Caenorhabditis elegans: one gene and its partner. The protein of the gene in region 1 purifies or fractionates together with the protein of each later gene. This does not show direct contact. Each region holds a gene or a part of one and is shown in the gene's direction. Other genes may lie near its edges.

Region 1 (7,043 bases):
TGATTCTCTGGAACTATCTAGCGATGACTGGAGAAAATGCAGATCTGGACGGAGGCATGATTGTTTCTTCTCCGTGGGATCCCCTTGTTGCTTCTGATTCTATTGAATGCTTTATTCCACAACTTATTTTCAACAGCTTTATTGCAAAGAACTTGGTAGATATGGTGAGACCGTAAGTTTTGATGTTTTTTCGTTTATATTAGTAAGGTGTTTATTTTTAATATTTTAAATCTGATGACTTTTAAACAACAAACGTAGTTGGTATAAAAAATTGGCATTGAGAAAATTTGAGGAGACATGAGCAGGCCCTGTGCTCAAAGAGCTGGCAAGCTTCTCATTAAGTGATTGGTTTTTGCGCGTTAATTTGAAGCAATTCCTTTACGCCCAAATTTTTAGTATTTCCTGCTAAGCTATTAATGAACCAAACCCCTGAGTTCATAAGTAGCTCCCACAATTCCAGGTACCGCGAGCTATTCAAAGATATGGTGGATTTTGACGAAGTGTGCAGATGCAATACGGTTAGAGGGTTTGATCGATCTTTTGTGATTCCCATGTATGGGTTCAAGAGTTGCGATGACTATTACAGACAGGCTACTTTGGCGACAAAGGTAACATTTGAAACTTGGTTTGTAAAAATTTGAAAAATCAATTTCCAGGTAGACAAAATCAAGATTCCATGTGTAACACTGAATTCTGTTGATGATTATTTCAGCCCGGTGGAATGTAAGTTTTGGTTTGAACAGCTTTGAAAACTAATGTTCATATACAAACATGAGTGCTTGCTACGTTTCTCTAGTTCATAATTAGACGTGTTTGCTCTACGGTAATAACAGCAACCGACACATTGCGGGTTGCAAAAAATTATAAAACGTGTGGAATTTTTATGAAATATATATTAAATATGTAATTGAAAAGCTAGTTTTCTAATTACATTTTTTAAACAAAATACCAAATTTAATAATTATTCATACATTTCCCCTATTTAGGCATCCCTACATTAGATATAATGGAGAGCGACTACGTTTGCGGTATTATCACCAATCACGGAGGACATACTGCTTTCATGGAGTCTGCTGATCCAAATGCGCGCGGAATGGTGGAAAAGTTGCTCTCGCAATGGGGAAATATGATCTTCCATGATTATTCATGAGCTTTGATGGATTGTGCAATGTTTTCAAATTATACGTATTATTTTTGTATTATTAGGACTATTACACTTTTTGAACAATATCAGGTTTTTCAGTACATCCCGGTTTTTTATTATTATTGTGATTTTAATTTAATTTTTTAAATGTGCAAAGAGTTAATGGTTGCAGATATGACTAGATGAAACTCTTTTTTTGTCAAATAAAAACTTCAAACACGAATTGAAAATAGTGTAAAATTAATATTTGGCTGCAGTTTCATGTGAACGAAAAATTGTGTTATGTCCTTCAAATTAGAACCAGCCACCTTGCATTGAATAGTCATAAATCTGTGAAGTTTGCGTTAAGCTGGAGCTTTGGTAAAACCCTACCATAAGTACAGGGAACAATTTTGAAAAGCTCTGATACGAGTTAATTATTTTAGTACCAGCCGTGGACCGCACCTACGGCGCGGCCCCCGACTTTTTTGAGAAAACACATTAGATATACGGTGTCTATCGCGGACCTCGATCGATGTCTGCTGCGCATTTAGCATAAGGTTTCCCAAAATTTCGTTGCTCTGATCGGAGATCAAACTACATAGGGACAGAAGGACACGCGCTTTATATATAGTAAATGATAATTGTTGTCCTAGTACATCACGCATACGGATAATAATTCTTATACATATTTCATAGACTTTTGTTCAGGACCAAGTTAGTATAATGAAAAATTGGAGAAGATTCAGTTTTCTTCAGATTTTCTCCGACAGAATGCAAATTCTCCTGCTCTACTTCTGCTCCACTTTTCCACTTTTTCCATCTTTCCTCACTCTCCACAGCCTTCCTCCGTCTACGTCTCCACTAGCCTAGCCATCTCTCAAAATCGATGCTGGCACTGGACACTCACCCGACGCGGTGACAGAGACGGCCGCGGCCTAGAGTTCTCCATTTCTTTTCTTTTACCATATGTTTTTATACACGTTGGCCACTAGCTCTTTCTACTAATCAACCATGGATCTCGTGCAGTCAAGCCGAAAATTGATACAGGACATGATCCAACTTGCCGGCTCGCAGATGAAATTACTACTTATGGATGGGGAAACAGTGAGTTGATTTGAAAGTGTAAAAATGTAATTATTCGGTTAGGAAAAATAATTAAAACTTGTGTCAAAAAGTTATACTAAAACGTAAATTAACAACACGTTTTGCAAATTTTTCAGTAACATTTATGTCTATTTTTGAATTACTTAATCTAACAAAATAATAAATAATAAATATAATAAACACTTAAAATATAGAGGAAATCCAAAAATGAGCAAAACGTATTGTATATTCACAATAGCCTAAATGTTTATTATGAATTTATATCAGCTATAGATTTTTAATAAAGTTAATGCTTAGATTAGTATGAAAAATCATATAAACATACAATTTTAAATGATGAGTAGTTTTTTCACACGTTTTCAAATAAAATCAACGCTAAATTTTTTTCCAGACTCCAACAGTGTCATGCGCATTTGCGCAGTCGGAGGTGATGCAAAAAGAAGTTTATATATTCGATAGAATTGAGAACAAGACCTCATCTGAAAACATCAAAAACTTGAAATGCGTGGTATTCGTCCGGCCGACACCCAAAAATATTGAGCGACTGGTGAAAGAGCTCCAGGAGCCAAGATTCAGCCAGTACTATCTTTGTGAGTTTACAGAAAAAATACTAGTTTTCAATGAATATGCTTTTCAGATTTTACAAACACAATCAACAAATATGATGTGAAGCGGCTGGCTGAAGCAGACAAAAATGAGACTGTAAGTAGTACTTTTTATTATGGACAGAACTAATTTTCAAGCTGCGTGATTAAATTATGAGAATCAGAAAAAGATTTATTGCTTTCCGACAATAACTTAACGATGCAAAAAACTTTTAAGCAATACTAATACGCTATAGGATATGTCAATAGTGTATTTTTCAACAAATTCCAGGTGCGTGAGGTTCAAGAAGTGTTTCTAGATGGAGTTCCTATTCGTAAAGACTTGTTCACTCTCAACTTGACACACATCTTCGACTCATCATTCACGTTGAAAGAAGAAGCCGCTGAAAGGATCAAGTGCGGAATTATTGCGCTATTGTTGCAGTTGAAAAAGGCTCCAGCTGTTCGGTGAGAGTTTTGAAATTTCTAATTTGAAAATTGGTAAAGGATTGCGGACATTGACCTTTTTTTTGAAATTTTGGTTATTTATTAGTCATGTTCATGCTTTTTTATAAAGGTATCTCAATTTAGAGAGTGTTCGCAGCTTTTAATTCTAAAGATTGATTCAATTTCTCTAAAACTGATCCCTAAAATATACGATTGAGAAAAAAAATTCATTCGTTTGTTTTTGTCTTTGGTCTACAAGTAGTATCCAATTGCGTGACTGCTTTTGTTTTTCGTCTTGTACCCAATTTCCTTGTTCTAAACAAAAAGAAGTCTTTACCCCAACAATACGATTGTATGATAAATTAATTTGCACATATACATACATATCATAACTATCGCGCAGCTGAAAATTGGCACTACATCGCTTGAGCAGAAGTGTGCTGCAATCAGAAATTTTTGGCAATGCTTGTAATTGTTAGACATAACACGCTGTAGTTTTGTTTTTATTGTAATCTGGGAGCTGCTACATGCGAAAAACTGTATGCAATTGTCACTACTTTGTTGCATACTTTTACAATGTTTTTTTTTCAGATACCAAAAGTCTTCACCGAGTTGCAAAAAAGTGGCCGATGATGTAGCACAATTCATTCGCCGGGAAAACGGGCTTTTCGAAAACTCTAGAGCTGACACCACTCTTCTGATTATTGAAAGATCCCAGGACGCGGTGACTCCTCTGCTCAACCAATGGACGTATGAAGCGATGATCCATGAAATGCTCACATTGACAAATAACAGATGCACATGTACTGATCAGAACATTGTGCTCAGCGAGCTTCACGATGAATTTTTTGCGAGAAATATTACTGCCAACTTTGGAGAAATCGGGCAAAATATCAAGACGTTGATCAGCGAGTTTCAGGAGAAAAAGCATATTAACAAGAATTTGGAGTCGATTCAGGATATGAAAAAGTTTGTGGAAGACTATCCACAGTTTAAGAAGATCAGTGGAACAGTGTCGAAACACGTCAGCCTTGTAGGCGAACTTAGTAATCTTGTTCAGAAGCATAATTTATTAGGAGTCTCAGAGGTAATACAGTTTAAAAAAACGTGTCAAAACGTAGAAAGTGGTTTCAGGTAGAGCAGGCAATTGTGTCAGATGGGGATCATGGCAAATGTATCAATCTTGTTCGAGGACTGCTGAAAAATACGAAAACCAGAGAAGTGGTGAGTAACAGTAACATACACCGCAAAAAAATCCGGAATGAACATTTTTAGATTCTGAATGCCAAAACAAACACGAGAAAATACTGAGATTTGTTATCGCAAATGACCAATTACCGTATTTCCTTTATTAGTCTTGCATGCAAAACTAATTTTCAATTGGTCCGTAGGGGTGCAAGACTAATAGAGGCTGCAAGACTAATAGATGAAATACGGTATATATTTTCGCCAACGTGGTGCTCAGGAAAGGATTTTGTTTCCTGTATCCTATAATTTTAAGTAAATTCATTAGCTACTTTAAAATTAGATACTACAGCTTCAACAAACTAGGAAAAATAGCTGGTCATTTAGTCAGTGCAAACATAAGTTTGGTCAGTGCATACGCAAATTTTTTTTTTCAAGGCACACAACACTGAAGTGTGTGCTATATTTTTAAAAAATTTATTTTGTTAAATGATACATAGAAGTATATAATTATATTTTTAATTGAATTTAGTTATCACGATCAGTACACCCATTTTCAGGACATCATCCGTCTTGTGCTTCTCTACGCTCTTCGTTTCGAAAACGCACCCGGCAACGAATTAAACTCATTGATCAGTCAACTCAGACCACAGGTAGGCAACTGGTGTATTCTGGGTTTAAAAAAATTTCATGCTTTTTCAGCATCCAAAAATCCATCAAACGGTGTCGACGCTGCTCAAATATGGTGGACTTTCAAGGAGACCTGCCGATTTGTTTGGTGGTGAATCGACTATTGACATTACGAAGAGGTGAGCAACAGTGAATCAGCGTAATCAAATATTTGGGCTGAAATCTGGGCTTAGTTTCGGTTGATTTGGCGGCTTCAGCAATTTCTGATTTGGTTCAATTTTATCCGTTACTAGTTGTCTAAATCAGAATTTCGAATTAATTTTTGTCTACAGTAAGCAAATTTAGCGATTAAAAACTGCTTTATTTATAAAAGAATTACAAATGAGTTTTGCAACAAAAAATATTAATTCATTTGACCAGAAATTTATTGACACCTCTAATAATTTGACAAAACTGACTGAACATTAGTAGCACTAAAGAAAGACTCAAGATTTACAAAAGGTACATGGTATTCTACCTATAATTTTCAGGTTCATCAAAGGACTCAAAGGAGTTGAGAACATTTACACCCAGCATTCGCCGTATCTCAAGAACATGATCGAGTCTTGCCAGCGTGGGAGGCTTGACAACTACCCGCTTCTTAGCAATGAATGGTAAGTTCTAGATCTACTATAATGCTTCAAGCTACTCAATTTTCAGCGACCGAATGGATAATATTATTGTGTTTATTGTGGGTGGAGCCACATATGAGGAGGCGGCTTATGTGAGAAGCTTGAATGAAAAGCGGATGCAAGGATACGGAGGGCCTGCTGTTGTTCTAGCTGGGAGTAGCATGCTAAATACAAAATCGTGAGTATACAGGCTTTAAAATGAAACCACGTCCCCGGTAAAAAATGTTTTGGCTAAGCGGGCAGACATTAAGCAGTAATTCTGTCGTTTTTCGATTAATGGGTATACTTAATGCTATAATACTAATTTCAATTGGCTATTGCATTTGTTATGGTTCTGTAGTGAATGGAAAATAAGTTAAATTTACAGATTCCTCGAAGAGTTTGCCAACGTCGACAAAAATACGGGAGCTGTTCACTGAATATCTCAAAAGTTTCAAAACTTCTCGCAGAGTCTATTTATTGATTTAATTGAATTGTCATCTTTTCTTGTGATATATTGAGCTTCTTTATGAAATTGCTTTTTTTAAAATGAATATGTACTGTGTACAGTGCCACCACTAACGGTCTCCCTATTGGCTCAGCCGCTGTTAAGCCGTGGAGAGGCCTACCGCTTGGCTTTTGAGTAAGTTGAAGCATGTTTGGAAGCTTTTTGATCAACCGAATTTACCAGAGGCATTTACAAAGAAACACTTTTTCAAAAATATTTCCTATACGTGAATTTATCATTTCAAAACCGTGTCGTTTTGAAAACCCAAACACACCCAAAAATAGTGTGTGTCCTTTGCCAATAGTGAATAACAGATATATGCGCTAATTTGCTAACCAAACTGGCGCCGTTTCGTTTATACTGTCAGTGAATTGTAGTGTTAGGTGGTGCGTGACTGGCTGACCAAGACAACAAAAATTCTTGATATCATTCGTCAAGAGAAACAAAACCTTAAAGCGAAACACCTTCGAAAAACCTTTTTAGTGTGATTTATCACTTGACTTCAACTTGAACAATGGACTACTACTTCAAACTTATCTCTGTAGTTTTTATCGTAATTTTGGCTATCCAATCGCAGGCTTTTCCCATTGAAGAGACTTCGCTAGGAAGTATTAATGGTACGTTTAATGCACTGCTACAGTTTTTGAAACCAACTTTGAGCATTGATCAAATTGCAAGCTTGCAATCAGCCCATGAAAACTGAGTGTTTTAAATTTTAGCCAAGCGGTTTGTGAAATTTTTTAACGTTCAGTGTAGAACGTGTCCCGCGCGAAATTTAATTTAGTTAGTGCGACATTTTTTTTGTGAGT
Region 2 (4,735 bases), on another chromosome or scaffold:
AAAGCCGCGTTAGCTGATATGAATAATGAAGTAGATGAAGCTCTATCGGATGATGAAGACGATGGAGACAATGAGGATGAGGATGATGATGGGAATGATGTTGGAGAAGATAAGGGAGATGAAAATTTAGAAGAGAAACAAGAGAAAAATGAAGAAGAAATGGATGATGTTGAGCAGAATGGATCTGTTGAGAATCAATCAGGAGATGCTTTGGAAAACGAGACAGATTCTACATCAAGGGGACAGAAAAGAAAGCATTGTCCTGAAATGGAGGACGAGGAAGAGGTAAGAAACTTGAAAATAATTTATTCCAATAATATTTATTTCAGGAATCAGATTCTGATAATGAGGATGACGATACCCCTATGTCGTACAAAGCACTTTTGTCAGATTCACGCAAAAAAGGTCGAATTGTTCCAGAAAACGAGGATGATGCAGTATTTGATGTTGATGATGAGGTAAAAAGGGCGGCAAGTATAAAAAATTGAAAATAAAACGGAAAGTTTTGAATTTATAGTGGCTAAAATTAATAGTAGTGAATTTTTTGAAAAAAGTTAAATTTTGGCTTCTTGAGCTTAAAAATATCAATCCAAATCGTTCCAGTGTCTAGAATTTATCGAAAAATACGACATTTTATCGATATTAAACAAAAATTCAAAGAAACACGTGAATCATTATTCCTGCTTGGGAGATCAAAAGTGTTTTGAAAAAAAAAGACTTTTACAGAAAGGCCACGCACCAGCTAATATAGATGAAGAAGAAGATGACGAAGACAATGAAGATGAGGAAGTACCGGAATCTGATGATGACGATGAGTTCGAGGATATGGCTGCATTGATCGAACGTCAGATTAGCGATGCAGTAGATGAAAAAGATCAATGAGTTTTCTGTGAAATCATCATGTGCTATTATTGTTTTCATTTCCTATTATTCTTTCAGTTGTTTCCCATCTTTTACATCTCATAATTATCACCCCCGTTCCCCATTTGATTCGATACTCAATGTTTTCTGTACTATTTACCTCCATTTAAATGGGAATAATCTGACAATTAATGTCGGCTGCTTGATCAGAGTGATTTTCATCAAATCAATCAAAACTTCACTAGAAGCCTGCATTTTTGTCATATATAAACGTTCACGGTTTGGAATATAGATTGCTTTTTATTCACTTATCTTTTGCCTTTTGATTGTAAATTCAAGAAAAGTCTGTCACTATGGAGTTATTCATCTTTCGATTGCTTACTTAAATACCTCTATTTTCATTTTATCGAATTAATTTTTTTTTCTAAATCGCGTCATTGTCTCATTTCTTCTCTCGTTTCACGTTGATCGTTATTATTTTTTTCTGAAAATGAATGAGATTCATTTCTATTTTTCTTGCTGACGCTTTCGCAATGCCGTTTGATTCGGAAGTATGATTTATTTTTTTCGAATTATAGGATTAATGTATAGTATTTGTTACGCGAGACCAAAAAAAGTTTCATGTAACAAATGTAGTACAATGTTTACATTTCCACAAAAATCAATAATTTACAATTTGTATACAATTCAATGTGGTCTTATATTACACAATCAATCGTTTCAACAACACGTTTTGCCGAACTGGATTTTTATCGATCTTTTACTATTTCCTTATTATTAAAAGTTATTAAAAGCTATATATTCGCAAAAAGTTTTGAAAAAAATTGGTAGAGTGATTAGCTATTGAAAAAACTTATTTCATTTCCTTTTAGTGACTAGTTTATTTACCATTGCAGTGAAAGTTTATGAAAAAAGTATTTACTTTTCTCTTTTGAAAAGAAATATTTTCTCGCATTTTTTGTCTATAGAGCATTTTTGCACACACGCGCACTAAGCGCCTTTTTTGTATGTATTTTCAGCGGTTTTTATCGATTTACTCATTGTCAAGAATCTTTTCAGTTTGAAGCCTATCTCAAAGCCAGAATGGATTTCAATCGAGATGCCGGCAATGAGACAGCCAGTCAGCTTCAACTCAATATTCAGAATTTAAATCAACAAGGTTTGCACGAAATTTTTTATTAAAAAAAACACGTTGTACACTAAATTTCGTTTCAGTTATTCAATTGGAATCCTTTATCACAAATCTATCAGATAGCAGTGAATCAGGACAAAGAGAACGGGAGCTTTTCAATCGCGTTAGTTATTACTCTCTATTAATTAATATTACATTAAAATATTTCAGAAAGCTCATAATGCTCAGGAACTCTCGAAGGAAACCAATGCCCTGCTGAAAAGATTAGTTGTGATGAGCAACTCTGATGTGAGTTTCAGTATAAATTTTTATATTAAACTTTGGTGAAGGCAAAATTTTTCAATGAATTTATATTTTAAAAAAATTATCCTAAGGTTTTAAAATTTTATAACATTCAAAAATAAATCATAAAATCACACGATTTTTGTTAAATAAAAAAAACTTAAAAAAATAATTTGAAATAATCTTATTATCAAAATATATAAACTGGCATGTGTAAAGTGGCTTATTTTTTATTTTGTTTTTTATTCAAGCTCCTCCCATTCCTGACCTTTCGTTAAAGTTTGTATTTATTAGTTCATTTTAAAAAAATGGGAGGAGCTTAAATAAAAAACAAAATAAAAAATAAGCCACGTTTCACATGACAGTTTATATATTTTGATAATAAGTGGCCTATTCAAGTAGTATCGGAAAATTAAAAAGTGTAGAAAATGACGTCACAACTATATTAAAATACATGTTTTTGTATGTATTTGATTACAGTTGTGGCGCCATTTGTCTACAATTTTCCGACTCTACTTGAATAACCTCATAAATCAATTTTTAAATCCGAAATTTAAATTTTCTGAAAATTGATTTCAAACTCATTTTGTATTGATATTCATATGAAAATAGGAAATACACGTTTGGGAGAGATGTCTTTGAAGGAATATTTTATTATAGTATTATCAACAACATTAAAATATTTCAGAAGAACTTACGAGGAGTCCGAGAGCGTCTTCAAAATGAGTATATCGGAGTGCTCAACCGCCTTCAAGCATCTCAACGAAAAGCTGCACAAACTGAAAAAGCTGGAATGGTTGCAGCAGAAATGGATGCTCAAGCGGCACGTGATGCTGCCGAATACGATATGTACGGAAATAATGGACGAAGTGGTGGACAGATGCAGATGACGGCACAGCAACAAGGAAATTTGCAAGATATGAAAGAACGACAAAATGCATTACAACAATTGGAACGAGATATTGGAGATGTTAATGCGGTAGGCTTTATTCAATTGAAGTTATAATGACCAATTTAAAAATTATTATTTTTTAATTTCTATTAATTTCATTAAAAGCGGTTAGAGGATGTGCCATACGAAAAATAACTCTTCAAGATTAAGTAACATTAATTAATTTTCAGATTTTCGCCGAACTCGCGAATATCGTACACGAACAAGGAGATATGGTGGATTCGATTGAGGCAAATGTGGAGCATGCACAGATTTACGTTGAACAGGTAAAAATTCGGAGAATCACAGAATTGTTCGAGAATGAAGCGATGAAAACGAAAATCTGCAAAAAAAACTTTAATTTATCTAAAAATATACACGTTTAGGTACTTTCAAAGTTGAAAAATAGTGGGTATTCCATTTTAATAAAAAATAAATTAAGGGTGCTCAAAATGTGCAACAAGCCGTCTACTACAATCAGAAAGCCCGTCAAAAGAAGCTTCTCCTTCTCTGTTTCTTTGTTATTCTTATCTTTATCATTGGATTAACCCTCTACCTGGCTAAGTAATAGGAGTGTCTCTGTTCTGTGAATATGCTTCCTGTCCTATATTTATTTGAAAAACATACTGAGAATCGAGCTTTTATTATAAGTCATGTGTTTGTATACAGTCTAACCTAAGTCTAAAATATGTTCAACTCCTCAATTGTACTAACTTCCCTCTCGTTGCTTTTTTTCGAATTTTTCTCAATAAAATGTATTGATTGAATATGACGTACTGCTTTGACGTTCTTTTCAGAGAAGAAGAATGATCGGGATCATTTGACCGATGAAATGATGATCGACCGGGAAAAAATGAAATAAAAAACTTATGCAAATCCGATCAGTGTGGCAAACACGGGTTCGGCTCTAAACACGTTTTTTCTCCTTTTCGGAAAAAACAGTGATTTCATTTTTTCAGCCAAACCTAACGGCCGATTGACGCACTTGTGAAATTCTGAATTCGCACTACCGCCGCTGCTGTATAAAACGAAAAGTTTTACGCAAATCTTCTCTTTTCTTTTACTCTCCAACTTACTGCAGAACATAGACCTTTAAAATGGCTGAAAGTATTATTGATTTTGTGCTCGTTGCTATTATTTTAGCCGCCTTAGCGGTAGCTACACTTATTTTATTGTTTATGGTGAGTTTTATGATATAATAAGTATAAAAAGCCAAGATTAATAAATACTTCGTTTTCTGAAAGTTGAATGCTAAAAAAGGCCGGGAAAGGGCTATTTGAAAACAGTGAAGCAGTGAGATGTGAGAGCTACAGTACTCCTTAAAGGCGCACATTCCTTTTCGAAGCTTTCATTTAAACATTTTCAATCGTGTCACCACAACCAGGTACAACCAGGTAACCAGGTACCGCAAAAAACAAAAAGAAAAAAACCGAAATACTGGCAGGCCTGTCATGAATGTCTAAGTTGAGTACTGTAGACTACGGTAGGGCCGCAACAGATTTATAGGTTCATGATCGGAAGCTTTGCAC

The links.
Region 2: the proteins of vps-45 (region 1) and syx-7 purify together in Caenorhabditis elegans (affinity purification with western blotting, with the first as the bait; one study listed by BioGRID). This does not show direct contact.

The regions. Positions count from the first base shown.
Region 1 is NC_003284.9:969,847-976,889, reverse strand, and holds vps-45 (Vacuolar protein sorting-associated protein 45), read left to right. Parts: upstream 1-2,041; 5' UTR 2,042-2,137; coding exon 2,138-2,230; intron 2,231-2,621; coding exon 2,622-2,820; intron 2,821-2,867; coding exon 2,868-2,932; intron 2,933-3,106; coding exon 3,107-3,282; intron 3,283-3,852; coding exon 3,853-4,348; intron 4,349-4,395; coding exon 4,396-4,485; intron 4,486-5,006; coding exon 5,007-5,099; intron 5,100-5,148; coding exon 5,149-5,255; intron 5,256-5,606; coding exon 5,607-5,729; intron 5,730-5,775; coding exon 5,776-5,925; intron 5,926-6,114; coding exon 6,115-6,166; 3' UTR 6,167-6,307; downstream 6,308-7,043. Other genes in the region: Protein abhd-3.2, read left to right, coding at 1-172, 461-608, 657-723, 987-1,150; C44C1.6 (Neuropeptide-Like Protein), read left to right, coding at 6,749-6,851.
Region 2 is NC_003279.8:9,001,149-9,005,883, reverse strand, and holds syx-7 (t-SNARE coiled-coil homology domain-containing protein), read left to right. Parts: upstream 1-1,920; 5' UTR 1,921-1,944; coding exon 1,945-2,020; intron 2,021-2,076; coding exon 2,077-2,156; intron 2,157-2,203; coding exon 2,204-2,281; intron 2,282-2,963; coding exon 2,964-3,254; intron 3,255-3,397; coding exon 3,398-3,493; intron 3,494-3,648; coding exon 3,649-3,774; 3' UTR 3,775-3,973; downstream 3,974-4,735. Other genes in the region: fcp-1 (RNA polymerase II subunit A C-terminal domain phosphatase), read left to right, coding at 1-285, 330-458, 727-882; F36F2.7 (uncharacterized protein), read left to right, coding at 4,304-4,387.